7 linked regions of the Oryctolagus cuniculus genome follow. The protein of the gene in region 1 interacts with the protein of each later gene in a pairwise test. Links are inferred from orthologs where the notes say so. Each region holds a gene or a part of one and is shown in the gene's direction. Other genes may lie near its edges. The genes, in order: RBFOX2, heterogeneous nuclear ribonucleoprotein F, HMGA1, MAGED1, PSMF1, ATXN1L and QKI.

Evidence for each region.
Region 2: the proteins of RBFOX2 (region 1) and heterogeneous nuclear ribonucleoprotein F interact in binary tests that used the Homo sapiens proteins (3 or more experiments, as listed by UniProt). The link is inferred for Oryctolagus cuniculus from reciprocal best matches to the Homo sapiens genes RBFOX2 and HNRNPF.
Region 3: the proteins of RBFOX2 (region 1) and HMGA1 interact in a two-hybrid assay, tested with the Homo sapiens proteins (2 studies listed by BioGRID and IntAct, with this or other methods). The link is inferred for Oryctolagus cuniculus from reciprocal best matches to the Homo sapiens genes RBFOX2 and HMGA1.
Region 4: the proteins of RBFOX2 (region 1) and MAGED1 interact in binary tests that used the Homo sapiens proteins (3 or more experiments, as listed by UniProt). The two-hybrid records come from large-scale screens. The link is inferred for Oryctolagus cuniculus from reciprocal best matches to the Homo sapiens genes RBFOX2 and MAGED1.
Region 5: the proteins of RBFOX2 (region 1) and PSMF1 interact in a two-hybrid assay, tested with the Homo sapiens proteins (2 studies listed by BioGRID and IntAct). The two-hybrid records come from large-scale screens. The link is inferred for Oryctolagus cuniculus from reciprocal best matches to the Homo sapiens genes RBFOX2 and PSMF1.
Region 6: the proteins of RBFOX2 (region 1) and ATXN1L interact in binary tests that used the Homo sapiens proteins (3 or more experiments, as listed by UniProt). The link is inferred for Oryctolagus cuniculus from reciprocal best matches to the Homo sapiens genes RBFOX2 and ATXN1L.
Region 7: the proteins of RBFOX2 (region 1) and QKI interact in binary tests that used the Homo sapiens proteins (3 or more experiments, as listed by UniProt). The link is inferred for Oryctolagus cuniculus from reciprocal best matches to the Homo sapiens genes RBFOX2 and QKI.

Annotation. Positions count from the first base shown.
Region 1 is NC_091442.1:113,493,836-113,497,821, reverse strand, and holds the start of RBFOX2 (RNA binding protein fox-1 homolog 2), read left to right. Parts: upstream 1-1,186; 5' UTR 1,187-1,655; coding exon 1,656-1,841; intron 1,842-3,986. UniProt on the Homo sapiens protein: RNA-binding protein that regulates alternative splicing events by binding to 5'-UGCAUGU-3' elements. Prevents binding of U2AF2 to the 3'-splice site.
Region 2 is NC_091446.1:59,592,951-59,597,093, reverse strand, and holds the start of heterogeneous nuclear ribonucleoprotein F, read left to right. Parts: upstream 1-1,343; 5' UTR 1,344-2,512; coding exon 2,513-3,760; 3' UTR 3,761-4,143.
Region 3 is NC_091436.1:135,099,464-135,103,476, reverse strand, and holds the start of HMGA1 (high mobility group protein HMG-I/HMG-Y), read left to right. Parts: upstream 1-1,213; 5' UTR 1,214-1,372; intron 1,373-1,635; 5' UTR 1,636-1,747; intron 1,748-4,013. UniProt on the Homo sapiens protein: HMG-I/Y bind preferentially to the minor groove of A+T rich regions in double-stranded DNA. It is suggested that these proteins could function in nucleosome phasing and in the 3'-end processing of mRNA transcripts.
Region 4 is NC_091453.1:36,330,556-36,334,051, forward strand, and holds the end of MAGED1 (melanoma-associated antigen D1), read left to right. Parts: intron 1-23; coding exon 24-138; intron 139-2,213; coding exon 2,214-2,591; 3' UTR 2,592-2,599; intron 2,600-2,786; 3' UTR 2,787-2,996; downstream 2,997-3,496. UniProt on the Homo sapiens protein: Involved in the apoptotic response after nerve growth factor (NGF) binding in neuronal cells. Inhibits cell cycle progression, and facilitates NGFR-mediated apoptosis. May act as a regulator of the function of DLX family members.
Region 5 is NC_091442.1:27,071,565-27,075,064, forward strand, and holds part of PSMF1 (proteasome inhibitor PI31 subunit), read left to right. Parts: intron 1-548; exon of another isoform or gene 549-889; 5' UTR 890-904; coding exon 905-1,033; intron 1,034-3,500. UniProt on the Homo sapiens protein: Plays an important role in control of proteasome function. Inhibits the hydrolysis of protein and peptide substrates by the 20S proteasome. Also inhibits the activation of the proteasome by the proteasome regulatory proteins PA700 and PA28.
Region 6 is NC_091449.1:55,391,938-55,396,127, reverse strand, and holds the start of ATXN1L (ataxin-1-like), read left to right. Parts: upstream 1-1,390; 5' UTR 1,391-1,532; intron 1,533-3,396; 5' UTR 3,397-3,458; intron 3,459-4,190. UniProt on the Homo sapiens protein: Chromatin-binding factor that repress Notch signaling in the absence of Notch intracellular domain by acting as a CBF1 corepressor. Binds to the HEY promoter and might assist, along with NCOR2, RBPJ-mediated repression.
Region 7 is NC_091436.1:5,326,196-5,330,361, reverse strand, and holds the start of QKI (KH domain-containing RNA-binding protein QKI), read left to right. Parts: upstream 1-1,366; 5' UTR 1,367-1,736; coding exon 1,737-1,878; intron 1,879-4,166. UniProt on the Homo sapiens protein: RNA reader protein, which recognizes and binds specific RNAs, thereby regulating RNA metabolic processes, such as pre-mRNA splicing, circular RNA (circRNA) formation, mRNA export, mRNA stability and/or translation.

The DNA of each region.
Region 1 (3,986 bases):
CTGGGACTGGCATTGTGGCAGGGCTGGTTAAGCTGCTAGTGACGCCAGCATCCCATATTTGGTTTGAGTCCCTGCTGCTCTGCTTCTGAGCTCCCTATTAATGTGCTGGGAAAGCAGCAGATGGTGGCCCAAGTATTTGGACCCCTGCTATCCATGTGGGAGACCCAGGTCTCCTGGCTTTGTCCTGGCCCAGCCCTGGCTACTGTGGCCACTTGGGGGAGTGAACCAGTGGAGGGAAGCTCTCTCTGTCACTGTGCCTTTCAAATCAATCAATCAATCATAAAAATTGCCGAATTTTACAAATGATCGAGCTGAGGTTCAAAGGGATGAAGTAACTTGTGTAAACTAGATAGCAAGTCCAAGGCTAGCATCTAGGTCATACACACATCATTTTATTCCTGGGACTTCATCTACAGGGCACATCATGGGGTGAGAGAGAAAACTCATTGTACACATCTCCAGCCACACAAAGTTGATAAGCAATGAAGTGCCATTCATGCCGCAAGGTGCTAAGAAAGTGAATCGCGAATATGACCCGGCGGCCTGCGATCTGGATCTGCCACCTTGGAGACCACGGTCTCCATCTACCCACCAGCCTCAAAACGGGTGTGCACGCACTATGCAAACCTTAGAGCTCTTACACGCATCGGAGATAATTAAGATCACCAGCGATATAATAATTACGATTAGAGCGGAAGCTCTCAGAATTGCAGAGCGCCACGCAGGAGCGGCTCCGACCCTAGACTCGAGATCCCATTCTTCTATGGGAGGCCCCACCCCTAAGCAGAAAGAAGGCGGCTGGACAAGCGAACCGAGGACACAACTCCGAACAACTAGTCCAGCAAACCGGAGCTGCTTCCCAGCCCTCAGGCCTGCCCCAGGCCGACGCCCCGCCCCCAGAGGCGGCAGGCCCCGCCCCCGCCGCGCCGCGCCTCCAGGCCGATCCCGCGCCGGGGCCGGAGATTCCCGAGTGTCCCCGAGCTCTTCCCGGCCTCCCTCGGGCGGCGGGCGCGGAGGCCGCGGAGATTGCCGAGGGGCGCTGGCCACGCCCCTTCGGCGGGCTCGCCGCCGCCGCCGCCGCCGCCGCCGCCCCCTCGCCTCAGCCTCCCGCGCGGGCGGGAGTCGTCCATCCCGGTCCCTCCTTCCCTCTTTCTCTCTCCCCGCCTTCCCGGCGCTGCCACAGTGGCGGGTCGGAGGATCCCGGCCAGTCAGCTCGTCCCAGCCTCGCGCCCCTCCTCTCCCCCCCCCAAATAAACAGCCCTCCCCACGCCTCGGGAGCCGGACCGCCCCCTTCCTCCCTCGGCCGGCGTGCGGTGAGGGAGAGTGCGAGCGGCCGAGCGCGGGCCAGCGGCCGAGCTCCGGGGGCGCCAGAGGCGGCGCGGCGCGGCGGGCCGGCCGGGCGTCGCGTGTGCGTGCCGGGGCGCGAGCGAGGGCCCGTCGCGAGCCGCCGGCGGCCCCACGCCGACGACCCCGAGGAGCGGCGGGCGCGAGCCAGCCGCGGAGGGGCGCCGGGCCCGCGCGCGCGCACGCACGCACGCACGCGGGGGGCGGGGGCAGGCGCGCACCCGCCTGTCGCGACAGTCGGGGCCGAGGCCCAGGGGGAGGTGGCCTGTCGCAGGTCGCCCGGCTCCCGGAGGCGAGGGGGGCGCGGGCGGATGGCGGAAGGCGCCCAGCCGCAGCAGCCGTCTCAGCTCGGGCCCGGCGCCACTGCCCGGGGCATGAAGCGGGAGTCGGAGCTGGAGCTGCCGGTGCCCGGAGCGGGAGGAGACGGAGCCGAACCCGGCCTGAGCAAGCGGCCGCGCACCGAGGAGGCGGCGGCCGACGGCGGCGGCGGGATGCAGGTGACCGCGCGGCTCGGGGCGCCCCGTTATCGCGGGGGTGCGGAACGTGCCTGGCGGGGGGGGCGGCCCGGGCTCCGGGGCTTGGAGAGGGGGAGGGCTCCGCGGGGTCCCGGGGGGAGGTGGGCAGGGGCGGGCCGGGGCCTTCTTGGAAGCTGGGGCGAGCTCGGGTACGGCAGGATCCCGGGGTGCTCGGGAGGGTCCTGCGTCGATGAGGCTTTTGGGGGGAGTCGACCCTGGGCGGGTTGGAGTCCACGTCTTCAAACCCTGCCTTGGCTTCCGAGGGTGGAGTGGAAGCTGGGAAGTCCTGGGTGTGGGGTTGGCCCGGAGAGCCGCGGGGCTGAGTGGGGGGCGAGGGGGCCGTGGTGGGAGCCTCTCGAGGAGGAGGAGTGCCTTTTTGGCGGCCCTCGCACACCCTGGGCTGGGGTAGGGGAGCGGCGTGTGGACGAGAGAAGCGAAAAGCGAAGAAACTCCTCGAGAGAGCCCAAAGGGGATGTGGCTTGGGTTGTGGGTTCAATCAGTTCCCCAGTGAGTGGGAGGCGCGGGGAGACCGCGGGGTGGCGTGGGCACTGGGGTGCTCAGCCTCTTCACTTTGCGGCTCGTGCGGTTGAGTTTGAAGAGAGACACGGGACAGGTCTCTCCTGTACTTAACATGGTTAGGGCACCGTATAGCTCTCTCTTCATTGTCCTGGGGTATCAAAGGGAATTTATGGGCTTCTTAGAAGCCTGGATTCTGGCTTGTGGACCCAAGGATAAGCGGGCCGATTTGAGTCGTGAGTGGGAGAGGTGTGGATGGCGCCAGCTGAGTTTGGTAGGTTTTAGGATTTGGTCTCTGTTCGGGCATGCTTGCTATGAACAGGTGAGTGGGACTGGCCTGCCACCCGTTATTTTGACATCTGATTCTCTTGGAATCATAGAACGTTAGGAGGAGAGGGACCAGAGGTGACATCTTTTCCAGGGGCTGTTAACCTGGATAGACTTGGAAGATTTTTAAGCAGAATAGTTGATATGCACTTTTTGCTGGAGGAGAATCAGTGGTTTTTTTTTTTTGGTGGGTATTGAAGCCCCTGCATGTTTTTAACTACCTCGTTTTATAGAGGGGGAGTCGCAGTCCCAGGACGACCATCTGCCTGCCTCTCGCCCAGTAGCGGCCGGGAGTCTAGAACCAGCAGTGTGGCCTTCTGATTCCTGTTCCTGGGCTGTCTCCATTCCACCAACTCTTGGAAATCTCTGCTGTGCTAGAAGACTTCCTGTGCTCCCTCCCTGCTCGGCGAGGCTCTGCCTGACTTCCTGTGTTGGAGCCCGAGCTCTGCTTAAGCCCGGTGTGCGTGCCCTGCACCTCTCCCTGTCCGTTGTGGAGTCTGTCCTGTTACCAATGTTGGTTTGGGTAACGTGACCCTCTTGCTGTTTATTTTTGAATTCTTTTCTTTGCCTGCTTCCATTCTCCATTAGAACTCTGGCAAGGAGGAGTAAAACTCATGGCCATGGAAAATAGAGAGGCATACCAGGAGACTTCAGGTGCGGGTGGGTTGCCACTGGATGGAAGGAGGGAAGACTGGGCGAGGTGCTGTTAGTGTGTGCCTGTGCTCTGTGTGTGTGTGTGTGTTCAGTCGTAGTTGGCACGGTTGGACCTGGGGTCCATTATTTGCTTGTTGCCTTCAAACCAAGAGCAGTGGTATTTGGGTATAGAGCAGCGTCTGGGGACTTCGCGGGGTGGGGGTGTGCAGAGGAAGGCGTGGATGAGTGTGGGTGCAGATGGGCAACCTGGAACTGGCACGGAGAATACTCTTCTCACTTTATACATTGGCAGGTTGGAGGTCTGGCACACCGTGGCACGCCGGTGTTCCGGTCATTGATTCTGCCAGACTGCTGTATGGGTTTAGGGAAACCTCTTATTTTGGGGCTTTTGTTTCCCTGCTTGTGCAATAAAGTATTTGTACAAGGTGATTTCTGGAAACATGTAAGTCAGATTCCCTGTCCTTAAGGTACGCACAGTTAAGGTGTGGAGACAAATTGGTGAAAGAAACTGTGTGTGTGTGTGTCTATAAATTCAGTGTTCCTTTACTCTTGTAACTAATCTTTATTGAACAGCTGTTGCATGCCTGTCAGGTTTCTTTTTTCTTTTTTTTTTTTTTTTTGAGATTTATG
Region 2 (4,143 bases), on another chromosome or scaffold:
GCATAATTATATGGATACTATATGATAAATATATACTTATAAATAATTTGTGTAAGAAATCTTCAAGCTTACAATGTTTCGAAGTTTACCTTAGTTTGTAAATGAATGCTACTTTGCCAGCTCCTTGTGATCCAGGATAAATAGTGAATGTTTATGGTTCAGTTGTGATGTCTAGGGTGATCTATTATGAAAATGTATACATAGGTTTAAATGAGTGAATAATATATTTCAACTAGGAGGATACAAAAATAGCAATATATGCAGCTTGCTTTATTTTACCAAACAAGTCCATATCATAGTTTTAGTAGAAAATTTCATTAACATCTTTTTATTAAACTTTCTGTATTTGTTTAGTTTGATGAAGTCATTAATAGTGTCCAGATGAAAAGGTTGCAAATTCTTGAAATCTCTTGTATTTCTTGCTTTAAAAAGGACCTTAATTTTTGTCTATAAATACATCTGTTTTCATAAAGGTACCTGATGATTATAGTACGCCATTTGACAACTGATGACCTTATTTGATTGACCTGCTTGTCAAAATAATTTATTCTACTTGCTGAGCTAAGCCTTTCTTTGCATTTCACTCATAATCACTATCACTTACTTTAACATTTAGAGTAGGCCTTCCATTGTACTTTCATCTTTTTATCATTTTACTACTATAAAAATAATTCAATACTTTTTAACTCTTGTGACTTAGTTATTTGGTGAATAACCTTAGAAAAATTTCTGAACTTTTATGAGATCATTTTTATCACACGTGATACAGACACTAGTTAATTCTGTAGACCAGAAATGAGTATGAAAGGTCCTGTTTCAGACTTGACTTGTTGAGATAGGACCAAATGAATGGCTTTTGTAAGGTGAAATGGATACCTACGTAATCAGGAGGTAACTATATATATATATATAAAGAACATAACCAGCTTATTAAATACCATTTTAATTTAATGCCCTCTGAGTTAGGCACAGTGGTAGGTGTGGGGAGCAACTGGGAGCAACTCGGACTAGACTAAGTTACTGGAATTAAGACTTATTCTATGCATCTGCTCTCCCACAATATGGCGCTGAGAAGGGAAACAGCTTCTACACAGCTGCCTCCAGTTCAACCAATAAACTGTAGGACCTGCTCCTGATTGGAGGAGAGCAGCGTACTCGGCGTGTGGGTAGCAGAGTTGGGATTGGTGGAAGAGGACTATAAAGGAGGAGAGAGACAACATGCACCAGGAACATCTATCTGAAGGAACACCTGAGCAGCCCCCGAGAGAGCCGGCCGGCCGGCGGTGTGCCGCTCCCCCGCTGAAGTGGGGAAAGTGGCAGGGGGAACCGCCCTTCCACGGAGGTGGAAGGGTCGGTAGCCAACCCGGGAAGAACCAGCAGCAAACCCGGGGAGGGCCGAGCAGACGAAAGAACAGCGCAGGGTCCTGTGTCGTTCCTCCACGAAGACGGGGAGCGACAGTAGGCAATTCACACACATCACGTTGTTCAAATGAAGCAGGGGGATATTTGCAGATCAAATAAATGCAGAGTTCTACCTGCTGCAATAAAAATTATAGTTAACCTTTATTGAATATTTTACAATGTGCCAAGTACTGTTTTGGTGTATCTCCTTTAATTCAGTCCTCATTATAGCATTATGATTATGATTCCTATCTTACAGAGGAGGAAACTGTGGCCCATTAAATTTAAATAACTTGCTCAAGACAACAAGAGAAAAATAACACTTTTGGAACTTAGTACTATAAAAGTTAGAATAGCTTTAACTATAAATAGCTTTCAGAAATGTGTAGATGAGCCGGCACCGCGGCTCACTAGGCTAATCCTCCGCCTGGCGGCGCTGGCACACCAGGTTCTAGTCCCGGGCGGGGCGCCGGATTCTGTCCCGGTTGCCCCTCTTCCAGGCCAGCTCTCTGCTGTGGCCAGGGAGTGCAGTGGAGGATGGCCCAAGTGCTTGGGCCCTGCACCCCATGGGAGACCAGGAAAAGCACTGGCTCCTGGCTCCTGCCATCGGATCAGCGTGGTGCGCTGGCCGCAGCGCGCCAGCCGCGGCGGCCATTGGAGGGTGAACCAACGGCAAAGGAAGACCTTTCTCTCTGTCTCTCTCTCTCACTATCCACTCTGCCTGTCAAAAAAAAAAAAAAAATGTGTAGATGAGTTCATAGGCTTATAACAGGTTAATAAATGAAGTTGAGTGTGTCAACATCTTTCATTTTTAAAAATGATTTATTCCGTCGTGGAAGCAGGATTGCGCCGCGTCTTCCTGAAGAAGGTTAAGAACAAAAAGATGCACCTGGAGTTTGCCTGGAGCCCTCTGCGCGTCTAAGCTCGGGTGGGATCTGGGGTCCTTCGCTGGAAGCCGCTCTTGCAAATAGAAACCAGGCCAGCTCTCCTCAGTGGACAGTTGGTTACCTACCAGAGGTGTCTCCTACTGAAGGTATCCTTGGCGATACTCTAAGCCATAAAAAGACAACTTGCACCCAAGTTTGTCTGACATCTATCCTGTCAAGTGTCCATGATGCTGGGTCCCGAGGGAGGTGAAGGCTTTGTGGTCAAGCTCCGTGGCCTGCCCTGGTCCTGCTCTATTGAGGACGTGCAGAACTTCCTGTCCGACTGCACGATTCATGATGGGGCCGCAGGCGTTCATTTTATCTACACTAGAGAAGGCAGGCAGAGTGGTGAGGCATTTGTCGAACTTGAATCAGAAGATGATGTCAAAATGGCCCTGAAAAAAGACAGGGAAAGCATGGGGCACTGGTACATTGAGGTGTTCAAGTCTCACAGAACCGAGATGGATTGGGTGTTGAAGCACAGTGGTCCAAACAGCGCTGACACCGCTAATGATGGTTTCGTGCGGCTTCGAGGACTCCCGTTTGGATGCACAAAGGAAGAAATTGTTCAGTTTTTCTCAGGGTTGGAAATCGTGCCAAACGGGATCACTTTGCCTGTGGACCCCGAGGGCAAGATTACAGGGGAGGCCTTCGTGCAGTTTGCCTCTCAGGAGCTAGCAGAGAAGGCGCTAGGGAAGCACAAGGAGAGAATAGGGCACAGATATATTGAGGTATTTAAGAGCAGTCAGGAAGAAGTGAGGTCATACTCAGATCCTCCTCTGAAGTTCATGTCTGTTCAGCGACCCGGGCCCTATGACAGGCCTGGCACAGCCCGGAGGTATATTGGCATTGTGAAGCAGGCAGGCTTGGAGAGAATGCGGCCTGGTGCCTGCAGCGCTGGCTACGGGGGCTATGAGGAGTACAGTGGCCTCAGCGATGGCTACGGCTTCACCACTGATCTGTTCGGAAGAGACCTCAGCTACTGCCTCTCAGGAATGTACGACCACAGATACGGAGACAGCGAGTTCGCAGTGCAGAGCACCACCGGCCACTGCGTCCACATGAGAGGGCTGCCATACAAAGCGACCGAGAACGACATCTACAACTTCTTCTCTCCACTTAACGCGGTGAGAGTGCATATTGAGATCGGCCCAGATGGAAGAGTGACGGGCGAAGCTGATGTGGAGTTTGCCACCCATGAAGAAGCTGGGGCAGCGATGTCGAAAGATAGGGCCAATATGCAGCACAGATACATAGAACTCTTCTTGAATTCCACCACAGGGGCCAGCAACGGGGCCTACAGCAGCCAGGTGATGCAGGGCATGGGGGTGTCTGCGGCTCAGGCCACCTACAGTGGCCTGGAGAGCCAGTCAGTGAGCGGTTGTTATGGCGCTGGCTATAGTGGTCAGAACAGCATGGGTGGATATGATTAGTTTTGTAGAAGCATTTGAGTTAATTTCAATCAAATTTTCAGAGGCAGCCAGCAAGCAGTGAAAAAGCAGTTATTACCCTAGAGGAAGCTGTGGGACCCATTTTGCACCATGAGTTTGTGAAATCTGGATTAAAAAATTACCTCTTCAATGTTTTCTCATGCAAACTTTTCTTCTAGCATGTGATATTGAGTAAACTAAAACTATTTTCCGCTTTTCTCGATTAACATTTTAGTAGTATCCTTCCGAGTGATGTTATCTGAGTTAAAGTAGTTTAAGTATGTTAAATTGTGGATCTTTTACACCACACCACAGTGAACACCTTGGGGAGATGTACTTTTTTGGAAAACTCAAAGGTGCTAGATCCCTAATTCAAAGAGAAACAT
Region 3 (4,013 bases), on another chromosome or scaffold:
CCCCCCGCGGCCCCGGGGTGGGGGCCGGCCCCCTCCCCCACCGGAAACATTCCTGAAACATTCCTGAAACTTGGAGGCCCGGCCCCTCGGGCTCCCCACCCCGCCCCCACTGCGGGCTCCGGGTTTTCCTCGCGCCCCCCCACCCCCGCCCCCGCCCCTCCGCGCGCCCCCTGAGGAGGGGGCTGGGCCTGGGCCTCGCTGACCAGGGAGGAAGAAGGGGAGCAAAGAAAAACATGAGTCACTGCCGTGTGTCACTGGGCCGCATTACAATTCCCTGCCTCACAGGAGGTGTGGAAGGCCGCCTCGGGGACCGGGCGCGGGAGGTGCGCCCGACAGGGCCGCGGCCCGGCCTGCAGGGCGCGCCTCCCCTCTCCGACCCTGCCCTCTCTTCCCCCACCGCCATCTTCCCGCTCTGGCTTCCTCCTCGTTCAGCGCAACAAGTCCCGGTGGAGCCCGGCGCGGCGGGCCCGGACGGCGCGCGTCAGCTCAGACCCTGCCCGCAAAGCGCTTCCAGGCGTCGCCGGCCCAACCCTTTGTTGTTGTTGTTTTTTTTTTTTTTAAACCACGGCAGATGAGAAATCTGGGGGCCACTGCGGGACCGCGTGCTTCCAAAACGGCCGGAGGGCGCCAAAGGGAGTGACGCCCCGCTCGGGTCCAGCCCGCGAGCGAGCCAGTTGTGTCTCGCTCGAAGGCTGGACCTTGGTCATGCTTCGCGTGTGGCCGTTAACAAAATCTAAACACCTTGCATTTCACAAGACGGTACCCCACCCGCCAGTCACGCGCGGGATGTCACTGAAACGCACATGCTGACACACCTGTCGGCCTGGAGAAATCCGCAGGCCGTCGGTGTAAGGGAAAGGGGCGGCGCGTAGGCCGCGGAAGTCTCCCACACCCGCGTTTCTCTGCCCCACTCCGGCCGCGTGGACCCCCGCGGGCACGAAGGCCCACCCACACCCCCCACGGCGGGGCGCACACGCCCGGAGCGCCCCTAGAGGTGACTGTCCCGGGACTCCGGTTCCAGACGGTGAGGACGCCCCCGCCCCCCGCCCCGACGCCAGAAGCCCCTTCGAGATTGCTCGGCGCCCTGCTCCCCCTAGGACTGTGGGGAGTGGATCGTGACTGGGCGCACCCCCACAGCAGCCTAGCACCCACCCGCGCGGCGGCGGCGGCGGCGGCTGGCGGGCGGCCGCCCTTTTAAATCCCCGGGCTCATTTGCATGGCCCCGCCCCCCGGTGACACGGCTGGCGCGGGCGGGCCCGTCCCCCCTGCCCCTGGGTCGCTCTTTTTAAGCTCCCCTGAGCCGGGGCTGCGCTCCTCTAATTGGGACTCCGAGCCGGGGCTATTTCTGGCGCTGGCGCGGCTCCAAGAAGGCGTGAGTTCGCGGCCGCTCCGGTGGCTGCTTTTTTTTTTTTTTTAAATATATCTATAATTTAATTAAATTATTTATTTATTGAGGCCGCGCACGGGCCGTGCCCGGCTTCCTGCCCCTCGCCATCCTTCGGGGGAGGGGGGAGACTCCTGCCCACCCCCCCACCCCCGGCTGGATGTGACATATAAATACCCCGCGGGGGCCTGGGCGGCGAGCACGCGGCGGCGGCGGGCTCTGAGCGCCTCTGCCCTCTCTCCCGGTTTCAGATCCGCATTTGCTACCAGCGGCGGCGGCGGAGCCAGGCCGGTCCTCAGCGCCCAGCACCGTCGCTCCCGGCAGCCCCGGAGCGCGCACCGCAGGCCGGCGGCCGAGCTCGCGGTGAGTCGTCCCCGCGGCCCGCGGCGGCGGCGGCCGAGGGGGGCGCCCGCGCCCCCGCCCGGGGCTGCAGCGCGCGCCGCCGGCTTTATTCCCAGGCCGGGGCGGCGCGAGCCGGCGGCGGGGGAGGGCCGCGCGGCGCGGGGGCGGGCGGCGGGGCCCGGCGGCGCGGGGAGGACGCCCGCACCCCTTCCCCCGCGCCGCGGGCGCCCTGCGGGGGGGGGGCGGGGACCCTGGGAAGGCAAGCGCGCGGTGGGGGAGGGGGCGCGCGGCTGCGGCGAGCGCGAGTTGTGCACCCGGCGGAGCCCGGTGCACCTCGCGCGGCGGCCGCTCCCGCCGGGGCCGGGGGTGGGGGGCGGGGAGGAGGCCGGGCTGCGGCGGGCGTGCGGGGGCTCGGACGCCCCCCGCAGCCGCACGAAGTTCTGGAAGTGAGGGGGATGGGCGGGAACCCCGAGATTGGGCTCTCGCCCCCTGCGCGGGACGAGCCGGCTGCCCGGCCTGGATTTGGGGCTTCACCCCGACCCCACCTCTGGCCCGAGCTGCGCCTCCTCAGCCCCCAGGGCCGGGCCTGCCCTCCGCCCCCACAAACTGGTTTCTCTGCTTTGCTGGGCTCTGTTGGAACTAGTCCCCTGGACTCCCCGTTTCTGTTTTCCTGGGGTTTTATTTGGCGGGGCGGGCGCAGAGAGGGGGCTTTCTTCCTGTCCCCCGCCAGCGCGCGCCAGGTCTCCTGCCCCGGGGCGGGCTTGGGTGCCCCCTCTGGCAGGAAGTGGGGCCGGGTGCACCCGCGTGGCGGTGCATGCGGCCGGGGTGCGCTCGTTTCCCGCGCCTGCAGGGACGGCCTGCGCCCCTCCCCCTCGCGCTCTGGCCCCGACTCCCGCCGGTCTGCCCACAACGGCCCGGCGCAGGCACTTGCAGACGCCGCCTGGGTCTGGAGCAAGGGCCGACAGGGTCTTCACCAGCCGCTAGCTGGGAGAGCACACCGGTGGGCTGGGAGGGTCGCCAGTTTGCTGTGTGACCTTGGAAAACTCATCAGGCTTCTCTGGGCTACTTTTTTATTTTTTCCTTTATGCAGAATAAAAGGGACTGCTAAGATGAGGTACTGGGGTCATTCCTGCAGGGCCTTTAAGCGCTGGAGGAGCCTGGGACCCGAGTGGGCTTCCTACAAGCTGAGGGATTGGGGTTGGCCCCGAAACGTGGCTGCTCCAGGCCAGGCCTCGTTGATGTTCGCGAACAGGTGGCATAGAGACCAACGTTTCTTGGCCTCCCTAGAGAGAGCCTCAGGACTTCGTGGGGGCCTGGCCGGGTGGGGTAGGGGGGAGGCAGGCACCCACCCCATGCCATCAGAGGTTCGGGGGACTCCGGGCCAGCTTCGCCCAACTGGAACCCCCCCTGCGAGGGGGCCCTGGGCAGACCTTATGTGAGGTCAGCACTCATTTAGCTGATTAATTTTGATGTTTAGTTTGAAGGGGGCCTGTGGTGTAATATAAGATTCTAATCACTGGCTGTAATTACAGAGCAGGCCAAGCCACTAATGACGGAGCAGGCTAAATCAACCACCTTGTTTGCAAGGGTCTCCCAGTCTGAGATATAAAATAGGGTAATTACCAGACAAAGTCCCGCCGTCTGGAGGGGCTCTGTGCTTGAGGGGTGGGGGCCTTGGGTCCTCAAAAAAAATCGCAAGTTTGCAAAAATGTTTTTTCTTTCCTGGGTTAAAATTGGAAATTGCCTCAGAATCTCTCAAAGGAGGAAGAGAAGTCATTTACCGATAGAAGGTTTCTGAGGCTTCAGTTTTTTTATAAACTGTTCTGAGTTGGAGCCCCAAAGCCGTGTGGGGAGGCAGTGGAGACAGGTGTCTTAGCATTGCCTGCATTTCACAGACGGAGGGGCGGGGCAGGCAGGGGGTGGTGGCTGCAGGCTTCCAGGTCCACTTGGGGCTGCTGACCGGGCTGGCCCATGCTGCCTGCTCCAGGAGGGATAGGTGAACTCATCGTGGTGTGTGCGGGGGGAGGGGGGTGCTAATCAGACCCCCAGCAGGCTTTCCTCGCACCCCGCCCGCTGCAGGCTCCACCATCTTCCTCCCTCAGTTGTCCCCATCTTTGGAGTCCTCAAGGATTTCCCCTGGGACAGGGCAGAGACCTGGTGGGTGGGCACCAGCCCTGGCTGTGTGAGTGGTGGTCCTTGAGGCTTGAGCCCCGCCAGATGCACACAGAGTCGCTGTGTGTGGCTGCTGCAGCTGCCACCGTCTCATCTTCCCTGGTCCCTTCCGAAC
Region 4 (3,496 bases), on another chromosome or scaffold:
AAAGACATTTTGTGCTCTTTCAGATACCTGGACTACAGACGAGTGCCCAACAGCAACCCTCCTGAGTATGAGTTCCTCTGGGGCCTCCGTTCCTATCATGAGACTAGCAAGATGAAAGTGCTGAGATTCATTGCAGAGGTAATGGAGGAACTGCTCTAGAATTGATAGGTCAAGAGATGAGGTATCAGTGGTTGGGAGAGGCCAAGAACAGGAATGAGATCCTCGTATGGCACATGGTAGGTGCTGCATTACTGGTGATAATTTATTGTTGTTTTTATATAAGCAATAACAAAAAATAGGGGGCTTAATATGTATTAGGTGCTTAATACAATGGTATTTCAAAAATGGGTGGAAGATGGAATTAAAATATGTTTGTTTTGGTGCAGAAAGGTTTTGAATACCATGTATAACGAGGGATCTTCAAAAAGTTCATGAAAAATGAGAATTACAGAAAAACTGGATTTAAAAAATTTTTACCAAAATTAACTTACCTCTCTTTAAAAATGCTTCTTTATTTATTATTTCCATGTACTTGAAAGACAGAGTGAAAAAAAGAGAGATCTTCCATCTACTGGTTCACTCCCTTAATGCCCACAACAGCCAGGGCTGGGTCATGCCAAGGCTGGAAGCCAGAAGCCGCGTCTGACTCTCTTATGTGGGTGTCTGGAGCCCATACACTTGAACCATCATCTGCTGCTTCCAGGATGCATTAGCAGAAAGTTGGTTCAGGGCTTCCTAAGTGATGGCTTAACTCACTAAGCCACAGCTTTTGCCCCTAAAGTTATCACTCTCTTTTTAAAAGACTTTATTTGAAAGGTAGAGTGACAGAAAGGGGGAGAGAGAGAGAGAGAGAATATTTCCTGTCTGCTGGTTCATTATCCTAAGAGCTGCAACAGTGAGACCTGGGCTAGGCTGACACTAGGAGCCAGGAACTCCATCCAGGTCTTCTACAAGGGTGGCAGGGGCCCAGGAACTTGGACCATCTTTATTGTCTTCCAGGCACGTTAGCAGGGAGCTGGATTGGACTCAAATCAGCACTCTGATATCAGATACTGGCATCACAAGTGGTGGCTTAACCTGCTGTGCCAGAATGCCAGCACCTAAACTTATCTTTCTCTTTTTTTTTGTTTGAAAGTCAGAGTTACACACAGAGAGAGGAAGAGACAGAGAGATTTTCCATCCACTGGTTCACTCCCCAAATGGCTGCAGTGGCCAGGGCTGGGCCAGGCTGAAGCCAGGAGTCAAGAGCTTCTTCCAGGTCTCCCATGTGGGTGCAGGGGCTCAAGCACTTGGACTGTCTTTCACTGCTTTCCCAGGCACATTAGCAGGGAGCTAGATTGGAAGTCCAGCATCTGGATCTTGAATAAGCAGCCATATGGGATGCTGGCATTGCAGGCAGCAACTTTACCTGCTACACCACAATGCTGCCCCCTAAACTTACCTCTTAATTCCATTTTTTCATGAGCATTTTTAAATACCCTCGTATATATTAACTAATACTGTTAAGGGTTGGATTTTTAATATTTTTATTCATTAATTTTCCAACTTTATTACAGTTTTGTTGACATAATGTATATAATGTACAACATTATCTTTAAGTGTTTTTTTGTTTTTTTTCACTTAATCAAATTTAACATTTTTGGAATACAAGGTGGTATTTTGGTAATTTTTATAGATTATGGAGTATGTGTATGTAATATGTGTACATTATGTAATGATTAAATGAAGCTGATTAGCTGTCCAGATCACATACTTAGCATTTTTATGATGACAAGATTTAAAATGTACTCAGCAATTTTCAAGTATGCAATACATTGTCATTAACTATAGTAATCATGTGTTAGACATTATTCATCCTAAGTTAAATTTTGCATGTTTTAACCAGTGTCTCCTTCTTCCAGTCTCCCCACCTCCACAATCTCTGGTGACTGTTACACTTTGTGCTTTTAAGAGTTCGGTTCTTTCAGATTCTACCTATAAGTGAGATCGTGCAGTATTTGCCTTTTTGTATCTTATTTCACTTTAACATAATGGCCTCTAGGTTCATCCATGCTGCCACAAATAGCAGGATTTCTTCCTTTTAAAGGCTGTATAGTATTATCTTTTAAATATACACCTTCATTATCAAGTCATCCATTGATGGACGCTTAGGTTGATTCTGTATCTTAGTCATTGTAAATAGGTGTGATTCTGTTTTCTGTTCCTCATCTCAGGTTCAGAAAAGAGACCCTCGTGACTGGACTGCACAGTTTATGGAGGCCGCAGATGAGGCCTTGGATGCTTTGGATGCTGCTGCAGCTGAGGCCGAAGCCCGGGCTGAAGCAAGAACCCGCATGGGGATTGGAGATGAAGCTGTATCTGGGCCCTGGAGCTGGGATGACATTGAATTTGAGCTGCTGACCTGGGATGAGGAAGGAGATTTTGGAGATCCCTGGTCCAGGATTCCATTTACTTTCTGGGCCAGATACCACCAGAATGCCCGCTCCAGATTTCCTCAAACCTTTGCTGGCCCCATCATTGGTCCTGGTGGCACAGCCAGTGCCAACTTTGCTGCCAATTTTGGTGCCATTGGATTCTTCTGGGTTGAATAAACTGTTTGGTAGGTATTTCTCTTTTTGAATTGATAGAGTCCTTGGGGGTTATAATTATGTGCATGAGCTAGGAGTCAGGAAATTTGTGATGAGGAAATGAGGGAATTGTAGGGCAGCACTATTTGGCATTTATATTCCTTATTATTTGAGATACATATCATTGATTTTTCCACTTTTTCTTTCTTATATTCACAGATATTGCTCATCGGTTGCAATAGTCTTTCCCCTGAATTGAGGCTGAAGTCTCAGATTCCTTCTAAAACACAGCTATCTAGAGAGCCACATCCTGTTGACTGAAAGTGGCATGCAAGATAAATTTATTTGCTGTTCCTTGTCTATTGCTTTTTTTCCTTGTGTGCTGTCAAGTTTTGGTATCAGAAATAAACATTGAAATTGCAAAGTGAATTAGATGTGCTCCCCCTTTTTCTTTCTGTGTTTGGGGAGAGATCAGCATATTTAATGAGAGAGGTGGAACCTTAGTTATAGCCTGAAGGGTGGATCAGATTTCAGCAGAGATGTGGGTAGATCAAGCTAATGGATTGGGGAAAAAAAGAGGAATTAATGAAGTGTTAATAAGGCCTACAAATTAGTGTAGTTTTTCAGTGAGCATCATTTAAGTGAATCATATGATAGATATGTTGCTGAATGTCCTGAAGTAACACTGAGAGAAATCATAAAATGAAGGGATGTCTAGGTGGTCAGAAGGCTTGATTTAAGACAAGACAGAGGAGGTAGAACTAACTACATGTGATAAGGTGTAAGGAATGGATAGTTGAAGAGGAGAGATGGCTGTTCCTGGAGAATGAAGGGTCAGGGGCCTGGGATTCTGGACTGTTGATTTTACTGTGGAAAATGAAAAAACTTCAGGTTGGAAGCAAGAGTAGGTGCCAAAGTCTGTTCTGTGA
Region 5 (3,500 bases), about 86 Mb from region 1:
TGAGTAAAAGCACTGACCGGACTTCAAGAAATGATAGAAATCACGAAGGAGAGAGGCAAAGAAATGACTGAAATTCGGTAGTGGGTCAGGAGTTTTGGCTCTGAGGGCAGAGCCAAGGCTTCTGGGAGAAGCGGCTTCAACCCTTTGTCATCTGCCAAACGGGCTGATGGAAAAAATGGAACTCCCTCGCATAGTTGTTGAAGGAGCTATGCAAAGGTTTTGGTACAGGATGCAGCTCACAATAAACACTTATAAAGGTTATCCCAGGAGCCAGACTGTGGGTTTCCAGAACCATCCAGGCCACTCGCTGGACGGCTGCGTTGCTTCGGTCAAATGGTCCCTCTGTGCCTCGGCTTCCTCGTCTGTGAGATGATTATAACACTAATACCAACTACCTAGGATTGTTCAGTAAGTGAACACAAGTAAAGCGTCTAGGCACGGCACGGCACACGAGCTAACAGTTACTGCGACTATTCCTGGGCCATATTCTCTAGCTTCTTCTGCACTCGAGCACTCCCCCATTTGCGGATAGGGAGACTGTGACTCACAGGGAAGCGTTCCCTCCTCAGGGTCGCAACGCCATGGCTGTAGCAGACCCTGAGGGCTGTGGAGGGGCTCAGGAGACTCTGGCTTTGAAGCGCCGCTTCCTGCACGCGCGCTCCCTGGAGGAACCATTCAGCATCGCGCTAGCGTTTCCCGTCCGGCGCGCCTTGCGCCGCTGCGCCGGCGCTTGCAGTTACTTCCGGCAGCTGCGTCCCACCCCTGGGCGTCTCCATTTTGGCGCTGGTGGAGTCCCGGGCAGAGCTACGGAAAAGCGGAGCCGAGGTAGAGCTCGTCGCGGGGCCACGCCAACTCACTGCACTCTCCCCGTTCCCTCCTCTCCCCGCAGAAGCTGCGGACGCTCATGGCGGGCTTGGAAGTACTATTCGCCTCGGTGGCGCCGGTCATCACCTGCACACAGGACGCGCTCATCTGTTTCCTGCACTGGGAGGTGGTGACCCACGGCTACTACGGCGTGGGTGCCAGCGACCAGGTACGCCGCGGAGCCCGCCGGGGTGGAGTGGGAGCCGTCCTCTGTCCGGAGGCCCAGGGCCCGATCCAGAGCCCCTGACCTCCCCCCTCCCCGGGGCATGGCAAAGCTGTGCCAGCCCAGCCCGGCGCCCCTCCTAACAGCTGGTGCGACATTGATTTGTAAACTGAAGGACAGCAACTCGTTTCAGCACAGCCCGGCAGTCTCCCAGACCTGGAGTGTACGGGCCTCGCACCGAGACAGAGGGGCCGCCCCCCAGGGTTCTTCTCACCCACCTGCTCCCCTCTGTGAACTCCTTACCACGGAGCTGCGAGGTGGGGCGCGTGGGACAGCACACCCAGTACTGGCCCGCGCCAGGCATCCGGATCCAAGCACAAGTACGGGCGTGAGCTTTGCCCTTTCTGCACCCCTGGGCAGGGGCCCAGAGTGCGCACCCGCCCTTCATCCTTTGCTGAAGGACCCAGGCCCGTCCACTTGCCACTGCCCCCTGCAGCTCAGCCTCTGCCTCAGGGAAACCCCTCCACACACACACACCCCTTGGTGTGAGAATTGGGTAAGAGTGCCTCCCAACATGGCCAGCCCCTTCTGCCTCTTCAAAGCCGGAGGCCTGGCCCCTTCTGCCTTGTCATTTCCTGGCTCCTCCATCTGGAAGGCCTGCAGCCACACTCCACTCACTCCTCTCCTAAGCAGCTCTGGGCACTGAGAGCCCCAGGCCCGCCCCTCCCTGTCAGGGTCCTGTCCCTGTCGCACCCAGGAGCGACTCTGAGGAGCAGGCCACCCCACACCTTAGATCTTGTGGTGGGATTTCTTCCTTCCTTTCATTTCTAACTTTAGTTCTGGAGTCCTCTAATCCTTTTGTAGTTTCTCAGATTCTCGTCACAGTCTAACTAATTTTCCTCTGCTGACACAGCTTTAGGGTTCCCTCCAACTGGCTTTATGCATTGTGCACACTTAGCCAGCTTATGCTCCTAACCCCTGCCAGTGCTGTCCCCATTCTTCTCTACCCCTTGTGACCAAAGCCTAAAACTACTATACCCACTCCTGCCTTGCCTCCATCAGCGAGAATCAACAACCGGCGTGCCTTTCTGGCTCCTGGTTTTCAGGCCTCAGGTCTCTCACTGGGGCCCCTGGGACACACTCAGCATCCCCATGCCCACTTCCAGGTTCACACAGACCCCGTCCTCACGCGGGCTCTAAGACTGGAGATGAGACTGGAAGAGAAGGGCCGGCCTCACTCTCACACACAGAGCAGAAGCCGTCTCTTCCCAAACGCACCCATCCCTGCTCTGTCCCATCACACTGCACTTTTTTCCACTCACCGTGCCTTTCAGCATCTTAGACGTTGGGACCAGCTGGAGACAGCCCCCTCCCCCAAGTGTCAGGCTCCCCTTCACGCCTGGTTCCCCAACACAAACACCGTCTCTACTTGCCCCACTCTGGCTTTCTGATCTTTGCCAGCCCTTTCACTGGCCCCGGAAAGTTCTCCCAGAGAGCTAGTGTGGAGGCTGGTGCACGGGGCGCTGGGGTTGTAGAGTGACTTGGTTTTGACTTTGATGTTCCCCATCGGTCCTTGGCTCCCCCTGCCCTTTGCCCTGTCCATCAGAAGAAATAGGTCTGCCCTGCCCTTAGCCCTCTCCAGAGACCTTACTCCTTCCTCACGCCCAGCTGGCTGCTTCCACTCTGCCACACTCTCAGAACCCCAGGCCCTCCTCCGGGGACTGTGTAGAAGTACCTGCCACAGGTACGCATCAGTGCTGCAGGCCCGCCCCCGCCGCCCATCCCCTCGCATTTCCTCAGCACCCATCTCACTTTGACAGTTTATATAAATGGGTTTGTTCACACAGGAGAGTGCTTCTTTCCAGTTGTCATCTTCCTCTTGCCCTCCACCCCAGGCCCCCAGAATTGTAGGTAAAATGTGCAGAAAGAATATAATCTCGTTTTTAATATTGTTTTCCTGAAAATAAATATCCTTGACCAATTCCCAAAGGTCCATGTAATTCTCTTTTCCTGGTACTATGTGCTGTGGGGCTCCGCAGGCCAGAAAAAGATGTGACAACTTTGGGGAGGCCAAGGAGCCTGGGGGATGGGGGTTTTGGAAGGCCTCGCCTACTGTCCCCCATCCCCCCATGGGTGTTTAGGTGACAGACTAGACTGTGGTGTAGTTTTGCTGCGTTTGGCCTTTTCTCAAGCACCACGAGGCTCAGTTGCGCTGATCTCTCCATTCTGCCACGTCTGCTCTCGTTTGGAGCAGAAGCTGTTGGAGAGGCATCGTTGCTGTTAGTTTATTAAAGAGCAGGTTTAATTTTCTAGCCTGGGGCCAGCACACTGGGCTGAGACCGGTAGTGTGTGCCAGGTTCAGAGGATGTTTGTGTTGCCTCCAGCTACCTCCTGCTCCCCACCCTTCTGGGGGTGATAAGAGGGGAAGAAGGTCCCAAGAGCTTGTTCTTGACTATGTGTCAGCAGTTAAATA
Region 6 (4,190 bases), on another chromosome or scaffold:
TATTTGTATCTTACTAATTTTTAAATATCTAAGATATTATTCTTATAAAAATTCAAACAATAACTTAAGTTGTTTTTGAACGTCTTCCAATTTGGGATTTTTTTTTAATGAAGAAAGGATAACTAGTTATGTATCTTCCCCTCTTGTATATCTATTTATTTACATATACATAAATATATGCAACTCTTTTAACATTAAATAAATGATTCACAATATTGGCTTTTGTTTTCCCTTAACAAGATGATAAGTTCTTCTATCTAGATCTTACTCCTATTCTTTTTGCAGTAGTGGAAACTGAGGCTTAATGTGGTAAAAATGCAGATAGCCACATATTAGGGACCAGAAACTAGCCAGTACTTTTTTTTTCCCCAGCAGTATTTTGTTTGTTTAAACGTTTGTTTATTCTCATCTAGTTGAAAGGTAGAGCAACACAGAGATTGAGAGGGAGAGAGAGAGAGAGAGCGCTTCCATCTGTTAGTTCATTCCCTCAAATGCCCACAACAGCCAGTACTGGACCAGACCAAGGCCACGAGCCAGGAACTCCATCCAGGTCCCCCAAGTGGTTGGCTGGGGGCCTTGCACTTGAGCCACCACCTGCTGCTTCCTGGGATGCATTAGCTGAAAGTTGGGTCAGAAGCAACGCAGCCAGGAGCCAAACTGGAATTTTAATATGGGATGCAGGTGCCTGGGTCACAACGCCTGCCTCCGCCACTAATTATAAAATTGAACAAAGATTAATTGTTATCTATTGAACAGAGTTTGTCTCTCCAATAGTCAAAAATTTCTTAGTTCGTTTTCAGAAAATATTAATAGCTACTTAAAAAATTACAGCAGTAATCCAAACACAAATACAACCACTTTCGTTTTCATTTAAGTGATAGGCTCATGTTACTATGAAATCTACTACTTCGGAATGAATGGGAATCTAAGATTTCGTCGAGTAGTCAAACCTTCCCACTCAGTCAAGTTATTTCCCACTGTACTAACCCCATTCTTCTTACTCCTCACAAACGTTCAAGTCTGGGATCGCCTCGCTTTCCTGGACTGGGTCACTCAGGGATTCCCCGAGGTTCCCAAGGGGAGGCTTCACTAGGCAGGACCGAAAGTCCAGGAAATGGGGGTCACTGATGGCCACGCCCCAGTCGTTGTTTTTGGGAACCCCCCAGTATTTACTGGGGTGTAAAGATCGCGGGGTTATTGTGGGGTCAGGGAGTGGGGTCAGAGCACAGCCCTATTCACAGGTCCCAGGGGTTGGAATCTGTTTTCCCACCAGATGGGAGAGTAGCAGCGATGTGCGATTGAACAGCGGTACCCACCCCACCCTGCCGGGAGACCACTGCGTCGCTCTCTGGCCCGCGCCGTGACGTAATTTTTCTGCGCCGGGGGCGGGACGCGCTGACGCCATCTCCGGGCGCCCGGCTGGGGGGGGCGCTGGGTGTGGGGCGGCTCCGGGGCCGGGGATGGCGGCGGCCGCGGGTGCGGCGGCTCCGGGACGAGCGGGAGGAGCCCTGGGAGCGCTGTGAGATGGGCCGGTGAGTGTCGCCAGGAGTGGTGGCCGCCAGGCTGGCCTCCCTGAGGTCAGGCAGGCCTAGGTTCGGAGCTCCAGAGGAAGTGGCCCCTAGCAGCCCGTTGCCTCACCGGGCCGGGGCCGAGCACAGCGGACAGAGTTAGCGAAGAGGCCGCGCCTAGACCCCCGCCCGCTTCTCTACGGCACAGCCTGGAAGGCGGAGCCCCCCCGGCTGTACCTCCGCGGGCCAGAGTTGTCCGAGTCTGCGGGGCGGGAAGGGGGCCGCCAAACAAGGAAGCGTCGCCTGCGTGGCCTCGCCCCTGCAACCTTGCTTGAAGGGTCGACCTCCACTCTGTAAACGCAGAATTCCCGATCTGGTGCCCTACTCGTGTTGGAGCATGGATTGCGGGATCGCGGGAAGACATATCCCCTCGTTTCTTCCAAGCTTCTCCCATTCTGTCGGGCTCACCTCTTGCCCTCTGCGAATTCGGGACTCTGGCTGGGTTCAGCCTCTGGATTTCCAAAAAGCGTGATGAGGGGCTTCGTTCCCAGCTCTCCTAACTGCTTTGGCAGCCCTGCGGAACGGTCCTCCTTGCCCGGTAGCTCAGTCGGGGTGACAAGCTTGTCTTCCCCTTGAGAAATCCTTTGAGCCATCAGAGGCCAAGGTTTCAGATTCTGAAATGTGTCCTGCGTCGTGCAGCCCCGGCGCACAGACTTTTTATTTATCCTTCCCGCAAACCTTTTGCCTCTCATTTTTTAAAATTTGTGCTTGCTAACCCCTCGTGACCTAAAAGCAGGTTTTCTTGAACGTTTTAGTTGGAGAGAGCAAGGGTCATTCTGAGATTTAAAGATGTGACCCCAGTTTGTATGGGGAAAAGATGGGAAAAAGCGAAGTGCTCTTCAGTTACTGAAGCTGCCGGCAGAGAAGGGTGCATGACTTGTGCCCACGGTGTATTGTGGGATTGGGGATTTGGTTCTCTCCCATGGTTCCCCATCTTGCCACTCTTTTGTATGCCAGCGCCGTGCCAGTCTTTAGACAGAAATGTTGCCTTCCGTTTGGGTCGAGGCTTGCAGGGTTCTGTAGCAGCTGGACAGGACAGTGGGTAGTTTCTGAGAATTCATCTGTACTGCTTTCTCTGTTCCGCGGGCTTCAGTGCTGTACCTTTTCTGGCGAGTGTGCATTCACAGATGGGTAGCTCAGTGGTAGTTTTGTTTCCCCCTTGTTAGCTGCATGAGGATCAAGGTGATGTTTTCAGTTTCCATCACACCTGATTCATCACTTGGTGTAACGTTGTCACACAGAAAATTTACACACACACACACACGAGCCCATTTTTTAAAAATCTGAAAATTTGTTAATAAGGCTTTCCCCTTGAGTGACTCCCCCTTGACCTCTTTTTCTGCCCCAGAAACAAAATTCTTTTTCTACTGGTGCATCTTTTCTCAGTTAAATAACCATCAAATCTGTTTTTATAGATCCCGAGTAAAGGTAAAGTCCGTGGAATTGGTTTTCCTTGCTGCCCATTGTTAACATTGGAACAATGTTAAGTCTCCTGCGTTTAACTGAACTTTGGATTGGAAGTAAATTTAACCTTCGGATAGTAGGCACAAGCAGGGAATAAAGAATATAATGTTAAGGGAAAACAGTGAGGTTTGACAGATGGGCATTTTTTTCCCAGAGACGTCATTAGAGTTTATGAGATGGCCTTTTTTCTATTCAGCTGCCCTGGCTCTCTGGATAAATTGTTGCTACCTCTGGAGAAGAGGATGAGAGGAGAGCTCATTGTGACTTTCATGTCTTTGTGGCATTGGAATGACCTTTCAGTGATGACGCTGGAGAGGCTCAGAGGTCAGGCTTCTGCTTATTCCATCTCTCTTTCGTCTTCTAGGCTCCCAAGCCACCCGGGAGGACACTCATTACAGCTGCTCAGAAGCACCAGGGGGAGCTCAGGTAATCCAGGCACTTTGGATTCCTTGTTGCAGAAAAACATCTGGGATGCCACAATGGAAAAACAACAGAATGTAGTATCACAGAAAGCTCTTTTCAAAGCCAAAGAATGGGAGCCTGATTGGAATAATTAGGTGACAAAGTTCATGTGCATTGAAGTGTTCAGACCAAAAAGATGCTTTTGGATAGTGGATAGAAGCGTTTGTGAAAGGTGACAGTAAGAGGAAGGCAAGAGAACTTTGTTATGAAACCTATAGACCTAGGATAGAAAGAAACAGGCATATTTGGAGGAGTGGAACCAGAATTTTATGAAGTGGGCCCTAGAGCAGGTCTGCAATGGAAAAGGAGCCATTGGCAAAAGAGAACACAGAGGAACAAAGGGAGTGAATAAAGAAGGCAGATTGAAGGTGTTCAGTGAGAAGAAAATAATTTTTGTTAGACCAGGGGAAGGGAAGTCTATGTGAAGTCATAACAGTTTTGTTGCTACTTGGGGAGGAGGAGAAACAAGTTGTAGACTAAACTAGTATAATCACTCTTCCCATTTTGCCCAAGTTAGAATGCAGTATTTCATGGGGCAAAGAAGATACTATGTTTCATAGCATGTTTAGGGAGCAAGGCTTTGGAAAAAAAAAAAAAAAAGACAAGAAAACCTCAGGCCTTACTGACACCCAGGTCCTTGAGGACCTGGAGATATCAGGCAAAGGAGGACAAGAGGTGAGCCAGGCTTGGGTGGAA
Region 7 (4,166 bases), on another chromosome or scaffold:
ATTGGAGGGTGAGAACCCCGCGTTCGGGGTTCAGACGCGGCGAGCTCCGCGGGGCTCTCCCAGCCGCCAAGCCGGGTCTGCACCGCGAGCTGAGCGGACACGGTCCGCAGGCTCAGCGGCCGAACCGGGCGCCCCCGGACTCCGCGGCGGCCGCCCCGGACGAGCCCCGCTGACGGGCTCCGAGCGGCCGGACATCACCGACCCGTCGGGACCGCCGCCCCCGGCCCAGGCCCCCGGCGCCGCTCCCCGGGCCCCGCGCATTCTCGGGGTTCCGTCCCAGCAAATCGCGAGGGGCGCAGAGGACGAAGCCGACGACGGCAGTGGTCACGCGTGGCTCCGCCGGCGGCTGAGGCCGGGGCAGCGCGGCACCGGGGGCTGGGACGTTCCCGGCTGCGTTCCCACCAGAGACCCGAGGGTCTCGGCGGCGCTCAGACCGCGGCCCGCGCGCGCCCGACGGCCGCCGGTGGGGCACCGGGACGCCCCCCGCACGCCCGGAGACCCCGCGCCCGGCCCCGCCCCCACGCAGGCGCGCTCCGGGCCTCCCCTCCCCCGCCGCGCGCCCGCCGAGCTCGGCGGGGGCGGAGCGACCCCCGGGAGGGGCGTGGACGCCGGGCTCGACGCGCGCACGCGCGCTGCAGCCTCACAGCTACGTGTCGGGCCACGTGACGCCCACCCCAAAGTCCCCCGTGAAGCAACAGGACGTTAGAAAGATTTCTCTTCTGGGGGGGGGGTGGGGGTGGCGGCTGGGGGAGGCTCAGAGACTGGTTTGAAAAAACTACAGTAACGGGCGGCCCCGGCGCGTCGTGGCGCGTCCCGCCGGGATTCCTCTCGCCGGCCGCGCCCGGGCCCGCAGCGGCGGCCGCGGATCCCGCCACCCGGCCCCTCCCACCCGGCAGCCCCGCACCCGCCCCTCCCGTGGTCGCGCCCGCACCGGGCGGCCACCCCGTCCCGGCGTCCAGGCCCGCGCGCGGCCCCTCGGGCCCCGTCCCGCCGAGGGACGCGAGAGGGCGGCAGCACGGCCGCGGCCCGGGCCGAGGGGCGGCGGCGGCGGCGGCGGCGGGAGGCGGGAGCGCGCCGGCCGGGCCCCGCTAACGGCCGCCCTGCGCGGCCCCGCCCGCCGCCCGCCCCCGGCCCTCCCCGCGCCGCCGCCCCTCCCCCCGCCGCCGCCGCCGCCGCCGCCGGCAGCGCCGCCTGAACTGAGGCGAACTCCGCCGCCAAGTGAGTGAGGAGGAGGAGGAGGAGAAGGAGGAGGAGGAGGAAGAGGAGGAGCGCAGTCAGAGCGCGGCGGCAGCGGCAGAGGCGCCTCGGCGGGGACCAGCCCAGAGAGCCCCCGAGCCCGCGGCACAGCGGCGGCGGCGCTGAGCGGGCGCGACCGGCCCCGCGGACGAGCGAGCGAGCGAGCGAGCGGCGGCGGCGGCGGCGGCCCGGCTCCTCCGCGGCCGCACTCGGCCCGCCGAGACCCGCCTCCCGCCCGCCGGCCTCGGGAGGGACGCGCCGAGCCGGGCGGCGGCCGGGAGCGCGTCGGGCCCGGGCGGAAAGTGCCTGCGGGGGGCGGGCGGGCGCGCGGAGCCGGCCGCCCCGGGGCTCGGCGCGGGAGCCAGAGCGGGAGCCGGCGCGGAGCGGGACGCCGAGTCCCGAGCGGCCGGCGGCCGGGGCTCGCCCCCGCCCCTCCCTCCTCTCCGGCGGCGGCGGCGGCGGCGGCGGCGGCGGGCGGAGTGAGCTGCGGAGCCTGGAATATGGTTGGGGAAATGGAAACGAAGGAGAAGCCGAAGCCCACCCCAGATTACCTGATGCAGCTGATGAACGACAAGAAGCTCATGAGCAGCCTGCCCAACTTCTGCGGGATCTTCAACCACCTCGAGCGGCTGCTGGACGAAGGTGAGCCGCCGCCCCGGCCCCGGCCCCGGCCCCGCCGGGCGACCCCTCTTCCCGGCTCGGGATGGTGGCGAGGGCGGGAAGGTCACGGCCGGGCGGGACCGCGCGCCCGGGGGACGGGAAGCCGGGGAAGGCGCACAAAGGAGGACCGGGCCGGGCCGGGCTCGCGGCGGGCGGGCCGGGGCCGGGCGCACCCGCCGGGCAGGACGCCCCCCGCTGGGCCGGGACTCCTCTCCCCCACCCCGCTGCCGGCGGCGCGCGCGGTGGAGCGCTGGGAGAGGCTCCTGTGGCTTTGGGGGTCCCGTTTCCGAAAAGCGGAGTGGGGCTGCGCAGGCCCGGGGGCCTCCCCGACCCTCCCCGAGAGCCAGCCCGGGCCGCGCCGCCAGCCGGGCGGGCTCGCGTGTCCCTGGCCCGCCCGCTCGGCCTCGCGTCTCCCCGTGCCCGCCCGCGGGGCGCACCCCGGCCTCGGGAGGCTTGGGTGGGCTCCGCGGACGGGCGGGCCGCGCGGGGTCCCCGTGCGTCTGGAGTTTGGGTGGCCGTGTGAGTACGGGGGGGGCAGCGGCCCGAATGACAGCGGGAGCGCTCCCGTCCTTTTGTTTGGGGGAAGCGAGAACTGTTAGGGAGTTCGACTACACTTTTGGGGGGTGGAGCGCCAAGTCCCGCGATGACAGATGGGAGCGGAGTCCCGAGCCGGGCCCGGCCGCCCGCGCCGCCTCGGCCGGGGAGTCGGGGCGCCGCGCAGGGCCGGGGAGCAGCCGGGCAAAAGTTTGCGGGGCCCGGAGCTCGGCGAGCAGGTGGCCGCCGGCCGGCCGTGCGGCGCGCCGAGGGGCTCGGCCGCCCCGCGGAGCCCGTGGGACCCGCGCAAAGTCCGGGAATGCCGTGGCGAGGAGTGCGTTTTCTGCGAGCATCCCGGAGAACTGTGTGAAGAAGCGGAACGCTGTCGGCTGTGCCGGGGAGGAACAATAGGTTTCGGGATTTTCAAGAGAACTTGGAGATGTTAAAAATAGAGCCGGGGGCCGGGGCCGGGGCCCGCAGCTGGAATGTCAGTCGGGAACAAAAGGCCGGAAATGTCTGCGTGAGGAGGGACGCGCGCGCAGGAGCGCGGGCCGCTCGGGCCGCCGGCGCCGGGGTCCCCGCACACCGGGGTCCCCGCGCACCGGGGTCCCCGCGCACCGGGGCGGGACCTGGCCGCGGCCGGGGCCGAGGTCTGCTCGCCGGCTCGCTCGGGAAAGCCCGCTGTCTGTCCCTTTAAGGGGCCCTGCCTCTCCTGGTTGTGTTGGCATTTGAAAGATTGTGGAGGCAGAAAACTTTCTGGAATGTCACACACACACAAAAAATGCAGGAACTCTCAAATCGAGTATTTCCGACTGTGAGCGCTAAGGGGCGCCAGTTATTATTTATTTCTAACCAAGGAAATGTTTGGAGCAAAAATACAGTCAGGTCTGACCTGCGTTAAATTTAGTTGAAACTTAAATTCCGTATTATCGTTTTATGTAATTCTGTCCATGAATGTCTACACATATGGAATGCATTTTGTTTAAAATTATTGACATAACTATCATGGTTCCGGGATAGGACTTTCTTAATTTTCTCCTTGGAGTATTTTGGTAAAGTTATAGTAGTGTTAGTAGTAATTTCCAAAGATAGTGTTTCTTAAATGCATTTGTTAAGAAGGAATCTACGTAGTAGGTGTTAAAATGAAAATAGGCCTTGACAGTATTTTGAGTTGATTAAAATTGCGTTTTTGAAAGTTGAATTCCTTCAAACAGCATTAGGAAATTATAAAATTGGAAATATTTTTACCTCATGTGTACTATTTAAAGGCTAAGTAGTTTGAGTTTGACTAGTACTAAAAAAGTTTCCTACTTGTGCCTTTTCACTGATCTAAAATCGCTAAATAATTTGGAGTTGGATTCCTGTTAAATTTCTAACCTTTGGCCTTAGTAGTAATTAATCTTTCAAACCGAGAAATTTCTGTCGTCACTATCTCTAAAAGATTTGTTTTTTTTCTGGTTGGTAATCGTAACTGTTTTGAGTTTGGAGAGTAGAAAATCCCTAGTTTAGTTGATGATGTTCTAAAGAACTGTTTGTTTGCCCTTTAATGTGGCTTACTCCAGCTCGCTGACTAGTTTCAGCCATTCCGACTGCCCGGGGAAAGGGTGCTGCTGTGTGGTAGTGGGGGTGTTCAGAACAGACGGCATGATGTCAGGAAACTTGATTGTTTTATCAGATCAGTACAAACCTGCAGGAAGAGGGGCTATTCCTCAGTGTGGAATAAGCTGCTTCCTGTA